Linked DNA regions of Xenopus tropicalis. The protein of the gene in region 4 purifies or fractionates together with the protein of the main gene of each other region. This does not show direct contact. Links are inferred from orthologs where the notes say so. Each region holds a gene or a part of one and is shown on either strand. Other genes may lie near its edges.

Region 1 (3,565 bases), on a different chromosome or scaffold from region 4:
AAATATAAGCTACCTCTGGCTTCATCCTGTGTATGTTTTATTTTATCAGTGTATTGGCTTTGTGTACTATTAGTGACATTAAAGGGGATGTAAAGTCATTTTTAAATGCATATATAGGTCCTTATGACTAAATTATACAACTTTGTAATATCTGTTAAAATTTTTGTACCTGTTTTGAGATACAAGTGATCGTTACTACAGTCTTATTTTATCTCCCTTGATGGATGCTGGCCATTCTGCTTATGTGTAAATTCTTGGCAGCCCCTGTGATGCTGAACTGTTAGACAGGGGTCAAGGGTGCTTAACCCTGCTCTACAAATGTATATATTCTATGCACTGACATTACTTTCATTTATAAGATTAATATTCAGTGTGCTGTGCCACCTGCAGATTCTGTTGCTCCTTGCAGCTTAGTTCTCTTCAGCATAAAGGCAAAGACATTACATTAAATGACATCAAAGTCAATGCAAAAAATAAGATAAAGCAGTACCCAAAAAGAATGCTATGGTGAAGCGCTACTTTTGTTATATGACCAACAGACCTTGTTTATACCTGTACAATAAATTCTTTTCTCAACACTGCATCCAAAGCCTTTGCAACACCATAGATCATTTTCTACAACACCAGTATCTAACTTTGAGACCCTACTGCACTGTTATCATCAGGTGCATTTCTGAGATATATGTTATTTAAAGCCATGCTGAATACAATTACATTATTGTTCTAAATGCAGTATAATTCAGATTACAATCTAACAACAAACCACCCCGGCTAAGACTGTATTGCTATTTTAAAACAGAAATTACATCTGTTGTCTGCCAGTTTATCAGCCATCTTCCAAATTAAGAGTAGTAAAATTTAATATATTAACCTGAATTAAATAGACCATATCCCTCTAAGGTCTCCTGAAAGCATTCCATCAGGCCCTGGAGCTATGTTCATGTTAGTTATGTCTAATATTTTTTTGGCCCCCACCTTACAGCAATCAAGAGTAACTTGCTCATGTGAAGCCTTCTAAACTACAACTATGCAAGTAATGAAACGCTATGAGAGTAACTGCTTTTTCTAAGTCTAGATTTAAAAAAGTCTTACCTGTCTAATATTTTGTCCCACATACTCAATAACCATCTCATCAGCTATAATTGGTTCCATGGCAAAAAGACCCCAGTCGTGAATATGGCTCTTGCAGAAACGCAACTTCTTCTTTCGGAACTTAAAAAAGAAAACAAAAATTCATATGAAGCCAGTGCAGAATATTCTAAGGTAATAGGGCAGATTTTATTATCAGTGATTCAAAAATATACATAACTAGCACACTATCACTATATTGGTATAACAGTATAATTGGTAGAATAATGCAGTTTACTAACTCTGTAATATGCTACATATTATCATATTGCACTTTAAATTAATATTAAAGTGGTTTCAAACAGAGTGAGACATTTAGCATCCAAGTTAAGCTTGAACTGCATCCACGGAAAGCAAATAAGCAAGACTTCCAACTGGCCACATACCTTCAGCTGATTGAATTTGAGCAAGTCGCTGTCACAGCTTCCAGTGAAGGAAGAGAGCAGTCTGCGCTGTTCTGACCTTCTTTCCGAGCCCGCTCGGGTGGAGGCTTGAGGCTGAGCTGGGATACTCTTTCCCTAGGTATCAAAGGAGACAGTAAAAAGAATTATAGATTACAAGACCCTTTTAACAGAACACATCAATGCATTTACATTTTCTTAACAGTGAAAAATACAAGCCCGCAAAACAAAAAAAAAACACAAATAAACTCACAGTACTAAAAGTACTAAAAGTTAAAGCTCCCTTTAATATAGAAAAAAAATTATGCTCTTCATCCATTATTGCAGTATGATTTAAAATGCATGCCTGTTCACACACAAAACTCTTACCTGGGTATCGATGGGAAGTTCTTCAGTCAAAGAACGGTTGTTGATGAGGTATTTAAGTTTGTCTTTCTTATCAATTTTATAATATCCCTCGCTACGAGCACATCCTGTTACATGCTCCCGTAAACCATCATCTCGCTTCTTCTTCTTGGGGGAATAAACACTGGTTGGTGAGCATATGTTAAGGAAAACCGGTAATGGCTCACTGTAAATTTATTTAGAGGTTCAAGTTAAAATTGCAATCACACCCAAAATATATTAAAATGCCTTTTATAAACCATAAAATATGCATTTTGCCCCCATTTCTGGAGCATTCTAGCCACATGAACCTATGATAGGTCCCACATCTAAGACTGTTAAATAGTATATTGTAATATAAAGTTTTTTTTATCAGTCCTTGTAATTATTTTAAAGCGATACTGGCAAATGGTAAGTATCACAATGCAGTTTGGTAAAGGAGCTGTTATAGTTTACCATTTTTATTTGTTCGAGTGCTATGTTCTCCTTTTGTTTCTCTGCCATGCACCGCTTACCACCTGGGTACACATTGTAACTATTACAATATCATACACTATGCTACATATGTATGTTTCAGAAATCCATTATGTACATTAATGGGACCTGTTATTCAGAATGTTTGGGGTCTTGGGTTTTCTGGATAAGGCATTTTTCCATAATTTGGATCTCCATATCTTAAGTCTACTAAAAATCATTTGAATATTAAATAAGCCAAATAGTACTGCTCTCTGAAAAGAATTAATTATATCTGAGATGGAATAAAGTACAAGGTACTGATTGATTATTACTGAGAAAAAAAAGAAATGTTTTAAAATTAGAATTATTTTATAGGACAAAGCTTTAAGCGCAAATGACATATCCCTGCATATTTGCATGTATACATATGAATAGGATTGCCATATTGCTTGGTTTATCTGAGGCATTTATCACAGACCTTAACAGTTTCATTTAAATTAAGCTCCATGATCACTAGATGGGGCTCCAAGCTTTATAGCATCTTCTAGTCATATGCATAAATAATTTTGCAGATAAAGAAAAGCCCCTGTATATTATAGATATTTTAAGAAAAATAAATTATTGTTAAAACTATTTGTAAACAGGGAAACTTTCTATTAATACTGTCCGCTGGAAAATCTATGGCATCAGCATAAAAGTACCATAGCACCAAAAACTTAGATTTTGTAATTTTGCAGTTCTCAGACGTCTCTTTGATGCTGTGCTACCTTTTTACTAGTACGGGGGCATAAAAAATAAGCCAACATTAAAATTTTTTTTAAAAAATTAAGAGCAATTTCATTAAAATATTCCAGGAAGGATTCGGATTTCCTACACACAGTTCTGCATAACTTGAAGCTAATATTTTGGAACAAATCATATTTACACATGGTTGTGCATCAATCATGTGCATTCAGTGTTGGAAATAAGCAAAGCTTTTGCACTAAAAAGACCTGAGGTGACAAAAACAAATGCATACATATATACATACATACATATGGGTTGCCAGTTTTAAGAAGGACATTTTGTAACACACAATTCATTTTATAAACCCAAAGTTCATGCTTTGCATTTTATGCTTACAATTTCATTTTCTAATGATAAACTGTAGAAGTGGGCCTTAAATAACTGCTGTGAATGTAAAAGTTTAAATTAAA
Region 2 (4,176 bases), on a different chromosome or scaffold from region 4:
GCCCACCGGAATCTAGTGACCATCTATTAATATAAAGGGGCCCAATGGGCCACTTGGGCCTAGATCCAATTGTGTGGCAACTACATCAATTTTGCCATCGAAGTGAATCTTAATCTGAAGATTAATATTACCCTTTACCCAGTTCAGACAACTCACTGCAGAGTGACACAGTCAGCAGTAAATATTTGTATCTGACCAGCTTTACTGCAACGCTGCAAGTTCAGGTAGGTGAAGCTACATTTCACTTTCAAAACAGATGTATTCTGTGCAACCACAGAGCTGCAGTTCATTTAACTTTTTTTTATCAATATTTATTTCTAAAGCTTAGTCAAGTGTTTAAAATTAACACAGTTATAGATACCAACTTTCTAATTCCACACTGTGGCAAACCTAGAAATACAGGGAACTCCTTGCATGACACACCTAGAACTTCATGCAATCTCCTATATTCCCCAAGAAGGTACATCTCAGAACTTCAGCCTTCTCTCTATACTCTCAAAGATGGAACTCCTAAAAACATCAGCCTATTCCCTATATGCACTAGAACACACCGCCACTAGAACACACCGCCACTAGAACACACCGCCACTAGAACACACCGCCACTAGAACACACCGCCACTAGAACACACATTTTTTTTTGAATTCCTTATTTGGAGGCAAATTCGGTTTGCATAAACCAGAATACCAGTGTTCTTTCTATACCCACACACACATAATATTATTAAACCATCAGCCTATTTGCTATAGACTCTGCTGCATGACAGGCTACTTTCTATATGTTTCCCTGCTAGAATATCTATCTACACATTGAGAGAAACATGAGGAGGCCCATGCCCTGCAAAGTTTCCAGTGTACATGGGTGTGTAACTTACAAACAGGAGGGTAATAAGTGCTGCTATGCAGAATGGTTGGGGCACTTATTAGCCTCTCGGAACATCAGGTTAATCAATATACCCTCCCGTCCGGCAGATACAGAGTGCAGCCACCCTGTGTATTCTGTGCTACATTAGCAGCTCTCTGACCTTTATAACAGAGTAAAGGTTATAGTAAAATCCAATACACAAGAGTGATAGGGACCAACAGGTCATGGCGATAAACAGAACCTGGGTCAGAACACGCAATACAGTATCTCAGGAGGACTGGCTGTACGTATGAGTGGCAGTGGGACCCGTGGGTGGGCCCAGCTCCTTCAGTTGTAAATAACCTAAACCCTAATGGACCCATACACTGCCCAAGCGCTTATCTTGCAGAAACAACAAGAAAATATAAAGCACCGTCACTAATGTTACATTTCAGTTATGGTTGAGGCTTAAGGTCTATACTCAGTGTTACAAGTCTGAACAATATTATCAGTTACACATTCAACATGAGTATGTGAGCTCCAACACAGGCCCTGGCTTCATCTGCGGGGGCCACAGGCAGGGCAACACTAGGGGTTCCATGTGCGGGGGGGCCACAGGCAGGGCAACACGTGCGGGGGCCACAGGCAGGGCAACACTAGGGGTTCCACGTGCGGGGGCCACAGGCAGGGCAACACTAGGGGTTCCACGTGCGGGGGGGCCACAGGCAGGGCAACACTAGGGGTTCCACGTGCGGGGGCCACAGGCAGGGCAACACTAGGGGTTCCACGTGCGGGGGCCACAGGCAGGGCAACACTAGGGGTTCCATGTGCGGGGGGGCCACAGGCAGGGCAACACTAGGGGTTCCACGTGCGGGGGCCACAGGCAGGGCAACACTAGGGGTTCCACGTGCGGGGGGGCCACAGGCAGAACACAAAGGTTTAACTCAAATTAATAAAAAACTAAGAAGCTGAGCTAATTATCGTCTCCAATTTCAGAAGCAGTAATACAGTATTGGCACCCACATGCCAGTATAATGTACCATAAAGAGCAACCTGCCCCTCTTCCCATAAATCCATTAATAGCCCACCTGCCCCTGCTCTGCGCCCCATTAATAGCCCACCTGCCCCTGCTCTGCGCCCCATTAATAGCCCACCTGCCCCTGCTCTGCGCCCCATTAATAGCCCACCTGCCCCTGCTCTGCGCCCCATTAATAGCCCACCTGCCCCTGCTCTGCGCCCCATTAATAGCCCACCTGCCCCTGCTCTGCGCCCCATTAATAGCCCACCTGCCCCTATTAATAGCCCACCCTCACCCGCGGCACCCCATTAATAGCCTACTTTGCCCTCCTGTGGCCCCACTAATAATCCACTTGCCTCTCTGTGGCCCATTAATGTACAACTGTCCCACATACCTTACTAACAAGCCAAATCTCCCTCCCAAGCACTTGCCCCACTCAGCGGCAGGGCCACTGGGCCCCATTACTAGCCCAGGCTCGGCTCCCCGGGCACACACCCCAGGGCCAGGCTCCCCGGGCACAAGGCTCGGCTCCCCGGGCACACACCCCAGGGCCAGGCTCCCCGGGCACAAGGCTCGGCTCCCCGGGCACACACCCCAGGGCCAGGCTCCCCGGGCACACGGCTCGGCTCCCCGGGCACAAGGCTCGGCTCCCCGGGCACAAGGCTCGGCTCCCCGGGCACACGGCTCGGCTCCCCGGGCACACGGCTCGGCTCCCCGGGCACACACCCCAGGGCCAGGCTCGGCTCCCCGGGCACACGGCTCGGCTCCCCAGGCCAAGGCCCGGCCCCAGTGCCACAGGCAGGGCAGACGTTAGACTTCCCAGGCGCGCAGTTCCCAGCTGTAGGGGTCGCTCTGGCCGCAGCCGAATGCCCTCACTTTCTCACCCCAGCTCTCCCCCATTCCCCCCCGCGGTGCCGGCCCGGGCACTTACCCTCCAGCAGTCGGCTGATCAGACTATCCACGTTCAGCTCTCCGTCCGCCATTTTGCGTTCCCCTCAGCACAGCAGCTGAACACAAGCCGGGCGGAGCCGCGTCACAACAGCCGCACAGCCACGCCCACAAGGAGGCTTCGGGGCAGAAAGACCAGTCACACAAAATGGGCGGGAAAACACAGAGGGCCCGTACTTTAGTTTAACAGATAGAATAATAATGCTCGACAGCCAATAGGCAGCGTCGTACTGGACAACACATCTAAGAGTACCGCCTCTCAACGAAAATACCACGCCCCTTATCAACTTTAGCTGTGACTTTAAAGGCGGATCTTAGTGACAGCTGGCGGTCTTGAAATCGTGACGCAGTTGCCAGAACTTAAGGTTGCCGAAATGCTGTTGGCGCCCGTTCCCAAGGCTCCGCCCATCGAAACGCCCCTTGTCGTGAGGCGCTGGATAATTCTTCAGGGCTTGGCTCATGTTTTGGACTGTTCCATGAGCCTCGGTATCCTAGCAACCGTGACGTCAGAGCGAGCCGTGTGTCAGGATGCAGTGTGTGAGGGGGGCTGCGGGCCCAGGGCTCCCCGCCTCCCTCCATTACCGTATATACCTGCACAGGCCTTATTGCCTTCATGCATGTATATATCATTTGATTTATACGTAGAGACGCATTTGATCAAATTTCATCAAATTTTATATTCAAGTTAGGGTTTATATCCCCTTTTTCAGTCAGATTCCAGAATTTTCGATTTTTGTAAATTCTGTATGTAAGAAAAGCTAAACCTCAGCCATTTTCAAAACTGGCAATAATTAAAAAATTGCCACAGTTGTGACCAAATGTTCATTTGTAGGTATATGTGTAGGCATATAAGGCCCGGCACAACTGTACCCCTCACCCCCCCATGGCGGGCCTGTGTGCGTATATATATATTATTGCAGGGGTAGCAGTGAACCTATGGCCTTTTTAGGGCCGTGACACACGGGGAGATTAGATGCGCTGGGACAAATCTCCGTCATCGCAGGTGACATCTCCCCACAATGCCATCCCACCATCTACAATGTAAATCACCAGTGGGATGGCATACGCGGCGCAGCGATTTGTGAAAGTTGCTGTAGTTTCCTCTCAAGGCAACTTCAGTTGCAAGGAAACTTCGTCGACTTTGGCAAATTGCTGTGCCATGTATGCCATCCCACTGGTGATTTACATTCTAGCTGGTGGGAAGGCATTGTGGGGAGATAAGTCACCCGCAACAACAGAGATTTGTCACAACGAGACTAATCTACCCGTGTGTCAAGGCCCTTAGGGTAAAGACACATAGAGCTACTTAGTAGCAGCTACTTGTCACGGCTACTAAATGCCAGAAAATTCCCTATCATAGATAATAC
Region 3 (4,135 bases), on a different chromosome or scaffold from region 4:
TAGTACAATGCTGGGGGGGCAGTGCCAGTGTGACACAGTATAACCCCCTGTACCCGTGGGGCCCATTAGTACAATGCTGGGGGGCAGTGCCAGTGTGACACAGTATAACCCCCTGTACCCGTGGGGCCCATTAGTACAATGCTGGGGGGCAGTGCCAGTGTGACACAGTATAACCCCCTGTACCTGTGGGGCCCATTAGTACAATGCTGGGGGGGCAGTGCCAGTGTGACACAGTATAACCCCCTGTACCCGTGGGGCCCATTAGTACAATGCTGGGGGGCAGTGCCAGTGTGACACAGTATAACCCCCTGTACCTGTGAGGCCCATTAGTACAATGCTGGGGGGCAGTGCCAGTGTGACACAGTATAACCCCCTGTACCCGTGGGGCCCATTAGTACAATGCTGGGGGGGCAGTGCCAGTGTGACACAGTATAACCCCCTGTACCTGTGGGGCCCATTAGTACAATGCTGGGGGGCAGTGCCAGTGTGACACAGTATAACCCCCTGTACCCGTGGGGCCCATTAGTACAATGCTGGGGGGCAGTGCCAGTGTGACACAGTATAACCCCCTGTACCTGTGGGGCCCATTAGTACAATGCTGGGGGGCAGTGCCAGTGTGACACAGTATAACCCCCTGTACCCGTGGGGCCCATTAGTACAATGCTGGGGGGCAGTGCCAGTGTGACACAGTATAACCCCCTGTACCCGTGGGGCCCATTAGTACAATGCTGGGGGGCAGTGCCAGTGTGACACAGTATAACCCCCTGTACCCGTGGGGCCCATTAGTACAATGCTGGGGGGCAGTGCCAGTGTGACACAGTATAACCCCCTGTACCTGTGGGGCCCATTAGTACAATGCTGGGGGGCAGTGCCAGTGTGACACAGTATAACCCCCTGTACCCGTGGGGCCCATTAGTACAATGCTGGGGGGCAGTGCCAGTGTGACACAGTATAACCCCCTGTACCCGTGGGGCCCATTAGTACAATGCTGGGGGGCAGTGCCAGTGTGACACAGTATAACCCCCTGTACCCGTGGGGCCCATTAGTACAATGCTGGGGGGCAGTGCCAGTGTGACACAGTATAACCCCCTGTACCCGTGGGCCCATTAGTACAATGCTGGGGGGGCAGTGCCAGTGTGACACAGTATAACCCCCTGTACCCGTGGGGCCCATTAGTACAATGCTGGGGGGGCAGTGCCAGTGTGACACAGTATAACCCCCTGTACCTGTGGGGCCCATTAGTACAATGCTGGGGGGGCAGTGCCAGTGTGACACAGTATAACCCCTGTACCCGTGGGGCCCATTAGTACAATGCTGGGGGGCAGTGCCAGTGTGACACAGTATAACCCCCTGTACCCGTGGGGCCCATTAGTACAATGCTGGGGGGCAGTGCCAGTGTGACACAGTATAACCCCCTGTACCCGTGGGGCCCATTAGTACAATGCTGGGGGGGCAGTGCCAGTGTGACACAGTATAACCCCCTGTACCCGTGGGGCCCATTAGTACAATGCTGGGGGGCAGTGCCAGTGTGACACAGTATAACCCCCTGTACCTGTGGGGCCCATTAGTACAATGCTGGGGGGGCAGTGCCAGTGTGACACAGTATAACCCCCTGTACCCGTGGGGCCCATTAGTACAATGCTGGGGGCAGTGCCAGTGTGACACAGTATAACCCCCTGTACCCGTGGGGCCCATTAGTACAATGCTGGGGGGCAGTGCCAGTGTGACACAGTATAACCCCCTGTACCCGTGGGGCCCATTAGTACAATGCTGGGGGGCAGTGCCAGTGTGACACAGTATAACCCCCTGTACCCGTGGGGCCCATTAGTACAATGCTGGGGGGCAGTGCCAGTGTGACACAGTATAACCCCCTGTACCCGTGGGGCCCATTAGTACAATGCTGGGGGCAGTGCCAGTGTGACACAGTATAACCCCCTGTACCCGTGGGGCCCATTAGTACAATGCTGGGGGGCAGTGCCAGTGTGACACAGTATAACCCCCTGTACCCGTGGGGCCCATTAGTACAATGCTGGGGGGCAGTGCCAGTGTGACACAGTATAACCCCCTGTACCCGTGGGGCCCATTAGTACAATGCTGGGGGGGCAGTGCCAGTGTGACACAGTATAACCCCCTGTACCCGTGGGGCCCATTAGTACAATGCTGGGGGGGCAGTGCCAGTGTGACACAGTATAACCCCCTGTACCCGTGGGGCCCATTAGTACAATGCTGGGGGGGCAGTGCCAGTGTGACACAGTATAACCCCCTGTACCCGTGGGGCCCATTAGTACAATGCTGGGGGGCAGTGCCAGTGTGACACAGTATAACCCCCTGTACCCGTGGGGCCCATTAGTACAATGCTGGGGGGGCAGTGCCAGTGTGACACAGTATAACCCCCTGTACCCGTGGGGCCCATTAGTACAATGCTGGGGGGGCAGTGCCAGTGTGACACAGTATAACCCCCTGTACCTGTGGGGCCCATTAGTACAATACACACAGGGGGCGGGGCTACACACAAGGGGCGGGGATACACACAGGGGGCGGGGCTACACACACACACAGGGGATACACACAGGGTTAAGGCGCTGGATACAGCCAATAGCAATGTGAGGGGACTCCCCCCCCCACCCCGATACCCCCGCACCCCAGGGGACCCCCACAAACCCTTCCCGGGCCCCCCCCAAACCCACCCCCACACCATCCCCGGGTACAGCGCACTCAGCGCATCGGATAATATTGTCTCACCATCTCTCCTCCCGTAGCAACAACATCCACTTCCGCTTCCGGGTCCCTCTCCGTGACGCGCACACCCCGTGACCAGCGCTGCGGCCGGAAGTACCTGCGAGAGAGCGGGAAGTGGGGAACTGAGGGTTAATGTGTGTGTGGGGGCGGGGCCGGGGCGGCTCAGAGGGGATTGTGGGACACGGAGGGAAGGGGGAGGAGCTGAGAGTGAGAGGCTATTCCGTACAACATTGAGACGCTGTGGCCACGCCCCCCCTACACGCCCCTCCCACATTACTAGACTTGGCGGGTTTTGTGAAGTTTGAACACATTTCTGGGTATTTTTTTTAGCTACTGAAGGTGAAGTTGCCCTTTAACCTGCAAAACTCACTCCCCCAATGGGACCCATTTAGCTGATTAGTTACACTTGTACCTCAGTGAGGGGGGTATTCCCTTATCTAATTACATTTGGGGAACTGTGTATCTTTCCACAGGGAAATGAGGGGCTTTTGTGTAAGAATCTGAGAGCTGGGGGGGGGGGGGGTATGTTATACACGGGGCATTAGCAAAGCTGAGTCAGTAGCAGTAGCGCCAGTGGGGCGGGATATGGGCCCAACGCTGTTATTATTGCGCTTAGCAGCCCCCCCTCCCTCCCATTTAGCAGCCCCTTGTTATGTGCTTAATGGTTAGGGACCCCCCCCCCCCCCCCCCAGTAACTGGGGAAGTAAATCAGCTTTACTGGCAGCTTTAGAGCCGAAGCCATGAGTTTGCTTCATTACTGAATCCCAGCGGCTCTGTAAGTGTGTCTGTCACTGGGGAGCGTGTGAGTAATGCAGCCCCCCCCCCCATACTGTACTGTCTAAGGGAAACACTATGGCACCCCCTACCCATATGTATAAATACAAATATACAGAGAAGGAATGTTCTGGGCACACAATAAGCTGTACCCCCATACTGTACTGTCTAAGGGAAACACTATGGCACCCCCTACCCATATGTATAAATACAAATATACAGAGAGGGAATGTTCTGGGCACACAATAAGCTGTACCCCCATACTGTACTGTCTAAGGGAAACACTATGGCACCCCCTACCCATATGTATAAATACAAATATACAGAGAGGGAATGTTCTGGGCACACAATAAGCTGTACCCCCATACTGTACTGTCTAAGGGAAACACTATGGCACCCCCTACCCATATGTATAAATACAAATATACAGAGAGGGAATGTTCTGGGCACACAATAAGCTGTACCCCCATACTGTACTGTCTAAGGGAAACACTATGGCACCCCCTACCCATATGTATAAATACAAATATACAGAGAGGGAATGTTCTGGGCACACAATAAGCTGTACCCCCATACTGTACTGTCTAAGGGAAACACTATGGCACCCCCTACCCATATGTAT
Region 4 (4,127 bases):
TGTATAAAAACTTAGAGACAACACAAGCATCATAAAAGTTCATGGAGATGCCAAATAAGGGCTAAGATTGGCTATTAGGTAGACTCTATGCACACTATCAGCTTACAGGAGGCTTTATTTGGTAGCAAATCTTGTTTTTATTCAACCAAAACTTGCCCCAAGCCAGGAATTCCAAAATAACTACCTGGTTTGGGGGCACTGAGAGCAACATCCCAGGGGTTGGGGAGCAACATGTTGCCCCGAGCCACTGGTTGGGGATCACTGACACACTGACTCTATGCTTACTACGCAATGTGTGTATGTGCCAATCATAGCATTCTTATTCACAGGGGTGGAACAAAAAAGAGCACGTACAGAGGGGATCACTGGGGTGTAACATACTATGCATAGGGCTGCTGTAAATGTGAATCAATACAGCTTTACTGTGCTTTACTACTGACATTTTCAGCCTATGTTTTGTTAGGGCAGAGCTGTCCAACCAGTGTGAACATGTACCCTAATTTCCATGTCTGCAGGCATACCCTGTCTCGTCTACCTGTGCTACAGTACTGGAAGAGAACGATACCCTTAACAGTGTCTATACAAAACAGGACCAGCACATGGAAATATTTTCAAGGGGGGTGTTCTCCTGTGATTTATTAGTCAAAAGTGAAAACACAGCATTTAGGGGTGAGCTCTTCAGTCAGGTAAATATGTTTGCTGACATTAGTTCCCAACATAAAAAGGTATTTTAAATATCACATATGTACTTACTTCCCCTCCTGGCAATCATAAAGCACAATTGAATCATCGTCGCTGCTGGATATGACTGTTTCACCAGTTGGACTAAAGTCAAAGCAATTTATTTTATCAGAGTTTTCCCGGAAGACCTTTGCCACACGGAAACTTCGGAGCACATTATCGGTGAGCTTCATGATGACCCAATGTGCTGGGACAGCAGGCCCCTGCAAAAAGGGAAATGATGAATGGTTAAGAAATTTGAAACTAGAAAAAAAAAACCAGATGGCTGTTAGGACATAATTAAGTGGGCACTTATATATAAACTGTTCAAATCGGGACAAAATCCTATATTCTGCAGTAGTGCATAAGAACATGAGGGGGGTTAGTAAGTAAGTGCTCATTTCCCAGTTACATCAGACCTCTGGATTAGTCTTATGGTTAAAAACTGGCCTTTGTACATCATTAAAAAGCAATCTGAGTCTATCAAAAGACCACTAGTACCCCAACAGCATTTGACTGGACACTGGAAGTTGCAGTTCAGCATCTCTAAGGCAGATGAGTTACCGATTCCTGGTCTAATAGACAATGCCACATCTAGATTTCCCCATAGAGTTTTAATGATATTAGAATATTGCCCTAGTCACTGTCTGTACAGCCTCTGCATGGCATTTAATATGGGCTTGTGCAGGAAGAATAAGCAGTCTAGGTCAATAATGTGGGAAAACACATTCTATATACCCAAAAGACCACAATACATATAATCATTATGACCCCATAAAGAGCTTCAAGCTCCTAGCACCTAACCCTAATAGGTCAATTTCTCACAGCATTTAACTGCTATCACAGACCCCTTTACTCAAGAAAATTCTGTTTATGCAAATGTTTAATTAAGCAGTGCATGGATTCCCACAGATTAGTCTGAACTTCTAAATACTGGTCTAGTCTGGGACTCAAAATAGGCCCAAACAGTCCCCAACCAGCTCACTGAATGGTGACTGCCTATAGTAACTTACAGCAGCCCCTCTGGCATTTGCAAAAATCCACAGATTAACAGTCCAGGCCTGCCTACATACAGCAATATAATTAAAGTTACATTAAATGTGCAGCGGAATTCAACAAGCTTTCATGTGATGTCAGAGGTTCATGTGTATACTCAGCGGAAAACAGAAAATGTGTTTATACTTGACGGCATAACGGTGTTTGTCTTAAAAGGCAGAGGTCTAGATACTGGACTGTAGGCGAGAATAAAATGGTTTAGCCAAATGTTAAGCACCCAAAGCAGAAGGAGCAAGGATCACCTCTAACTTTACCACCATTTAGGTTTGTGTATGGGCGGGATTACTTGCTTACGTTCCAACAAACTGGAAATGGGGGAATACTGCCCTTTATAGATGGAATGGGAGCCCTGATCACTGAAGAAATTCTGGTGTTCCAACTAGTAGTGATTCTCCAATTCATGAACTGCAACCCTCATCTACCATGACTGCAGTTAAACAGCAGCTGAAAGGCAGAGACTGGACATCTCTGATGTAAAATGTTTTCAATATATAGAATTCCTTAAAAGATGAAACATATATTAAAGGTTTTATCAAAATTAATGTCCTAACAGAGCCCTATAGTGCTGGGGGCTTAGTGCAAACGCCCCCCCTGAATGCTGAAAGGCATGGACCACCTCCTTTGAAATGCTAAAACTAGTAAAACACACATACTGAGTAGCTGATTGGAAATAATATTCATTCTTGTGGACTTTGTCAGTTCCTACTGCGATCCCGGGCAATGTGGCTGCTAATCTGCCGTAAAGCACTTGCTATACTAGTCAATGTACAATAAGCATGGGCGGGCATATAAAGCTGGCTCTAGTATCAGATATATGAACAACCTTTTAGAAATAGGCCAGACAGAACGAGCAGTTCCTTGCGAGTCGAGCCACGTTTTCAGGAGGACCCGGGCCTTACGAATGGCAGTATTTACCCTCCCGAAAGTTAAGAGAAGCTACTTTATACGTTCCTTCCCGATCACCAGCTTATCGGCGCCTGGTAGTTGTGCGACATTTGGGCATACGGATCGCGCGCGTTCCTACATTCTCATTGTCTCCGCCATGTTATTTCTGAAGCCGGGAAGGAGACAGCCCGCTCCTGGAAAAGCGTCATGTGCTATTGGCTGATTCAGGGGGTAGACGCAATACGGAAACGTCTCTGGCGTCATGCGTAACGACGTCCTGCAGGATAACGCCTACAGAACGGCGCCATGGCGGAAGTGGTTTTACGGTGTCGCCATGTTGATTGTGGCAAGAGAACTCGTTCCAGGCTGGTGTGCGAGGAATACTCGTAATGTCCTGAAGCATTCTCGGGTTCGCCCAATCAGTCAGTAAAAGAGTGAGAATACATGCTTTCAAGTATTTTTTTTGAAGTGTCAACATTCTCTATTTGTCCATGGGGAAGCAGTGGTAGGCAATGTAATGTGCGCCAGCTGCTGTTGGCTACAACGCTCACAATGCAGCCATGCGCAAAGGCTGACTAGTGTTCAGTGTTCTTAACAGTGTTCTTTGTGGCCTTGACTAAATACTGGTAATTGGTGTAACTTACTGCAATTATTATTAATAAAGAAACGTTGTCCACTTGTCAAGGTATCAATAGCAATGGATGTGCTGAATCCAAAATTCTGGGATTTGGCCAAACCCTGAATCTTTAATGAAAGTTTCGGCTGAATACTGAAACTAATTTGGATCCTACTTTGCATAAGGCTATGGAAGGATTCGAGAGAACCGCACGTGCAGCGCGTGGTTAAAAATGTTCAAGTTCCATGTTCATTTGACAAAAAAAATCACAGTTTTAAGGATTTGGTTCAGCCAGGTACTTGGATTTGGCCGAATCCTAAACCTAATTCTGGATATGGTGCATCCTTTCCAACAACCCATAAATCCTCAGGCCTAGGGGTTCCAACAAGCAGGAAGAATAAGCAGCTTCAGTAGAAAATCAAATACAGTTCTAGTCCAGGTCTCACCAGTTTAACTATGCAGGCTGGATCTGTCAGTCGTGCTGGGCTGGGGGAGCACCATGCACCTGTAGTCTGGAGGAGTCCGACACTGGACTTTTGGTTTTCCTGAAACTGGGTTGTGTGGTAATTTGTGAAAAATAAAGCTTGTTGTCAGTAGGGATGCACCAAATCCAGGATTCAGTCCTGGGCGGAATCAGAATCCTTAAAATCATGGGACTTTTCGCCACATATAAGCTGAAGTAGAAAATGTTTTGCTGCACATGGTTCTTTCTTGTGCATTCTGTTCCTTAGGTTGCATATGCAAATTAGGATTTGGTTCAGTATTTGGCAGAATCTTTCACAAAAGCATTCGGGGTTCGACTGAATCCCAGTATAGTGGATTCGGTGCATCCCTAGTTGTCAGTGATACA

Evidence for each region.
Region 1: the proteins of wdr82 (region 4) and setd1b purify together in Homo sapiens (affinity purification with western blotting; 4 studies listed by BioGRID, with this or other methods). This does not show direct contact. The link is inferred for Xenopus tropicalis from reciprocal best matches to the Homo sapiens genes WDR82 and SETD1B.
Region 2: the proteins of wdr82 (region 4) and ppp1cb purify together in Homo sapiens (affinity purification with mass spectrometry; 5 studies listed by BioGRID and IntAct, with this or other methods). This does not show direct contact. The link is inferred for Xenopus tropicalis from reciprocal best matches to the Homo sapiens genes WDR82 and PPP1CB.
Region 3: the proteins of wdr82 (region 4) and cxxc1 purify together in Homo sapiens (affinity purification with western blotting; 7 studies listed by BioGRID and IntAct, with this or other methods). This does not show direct contact. The link is inferred for Xenopus tropicalis from reciprocal best matches to the Homo sapiens genes WDR82 and CXXC1.

What each region holds. Positions count from the first base shown.
Region 1 is NC_030677.2:162,135,700-162,139,264, forward strand, and holds part of setd1b (histone-lysine N-methyltransferase SETD1B), read right to left. Parts: intron 2,066-3,565; coding exon 1,899-2,065; intron 1,647-1,898; coding exon 1,515-1,646; intron 1,213-1,514; coding exon 1,093-1,212; intron 1-1,092. UniProt on the Homo sapiens protein: Histone methyltransferase that catalyzes methyl group transfer from S-adenosyl-L-methionine to the epsilon-amino group of 'Lys-4' of histone H3 (H3K4) via a non-processive mechanism.
Region 2 is NC_030681.2:5,936,970-5,941,145, reverse strand, and holds the start of ppp1cb (serine/threonine-protein phosphatase PP1-beta catalytic subunit), read right to left. Parts: upstream 2,851-4,176; 5' UTR 2,845-2,850; coding exon 2,793-2,844; intron 1-2,792. UniProt on the Homo sapiens protein: Protein phosphatase that associates with over 200 regulatory proteins to form highly specific holoenzymes which dephosphorylate hundreds of biological targets.
Region 3 is NC_030684.2:1,148,059-1,152,193, reverse strand, and holds the start of cxxc1 (CXXC-type zinc finger protein 1), read right to left. Parts: upstream 2,865-4,135; 5' UTR 2,746-2,864; coding exon 2,743-2,745; intron 1-2,742. UniProt on the Homo sapiens protein: Transcriptional activator that exhibits a unique DNA binding specificity for CpG unmethylated motifs with a preference for CpGG.
Region 4 is NC_030680.2:128,228,475-128,232,601, reverse strand, and holds the start of wdr82 (WD repeat-containing protein 82), read right to left. Parts: upstream 2,808-4,127; 5' UTR 2,600-2,807; intron 945-2,599; 5' UTR 915-944; coding exon 754-914; intron 1-753. UniProt on the Homo sapiens protein: Regulatory component of the SET1/COMPASS complex implicated in the tethering of this complex to transcriptional start sites of active genes.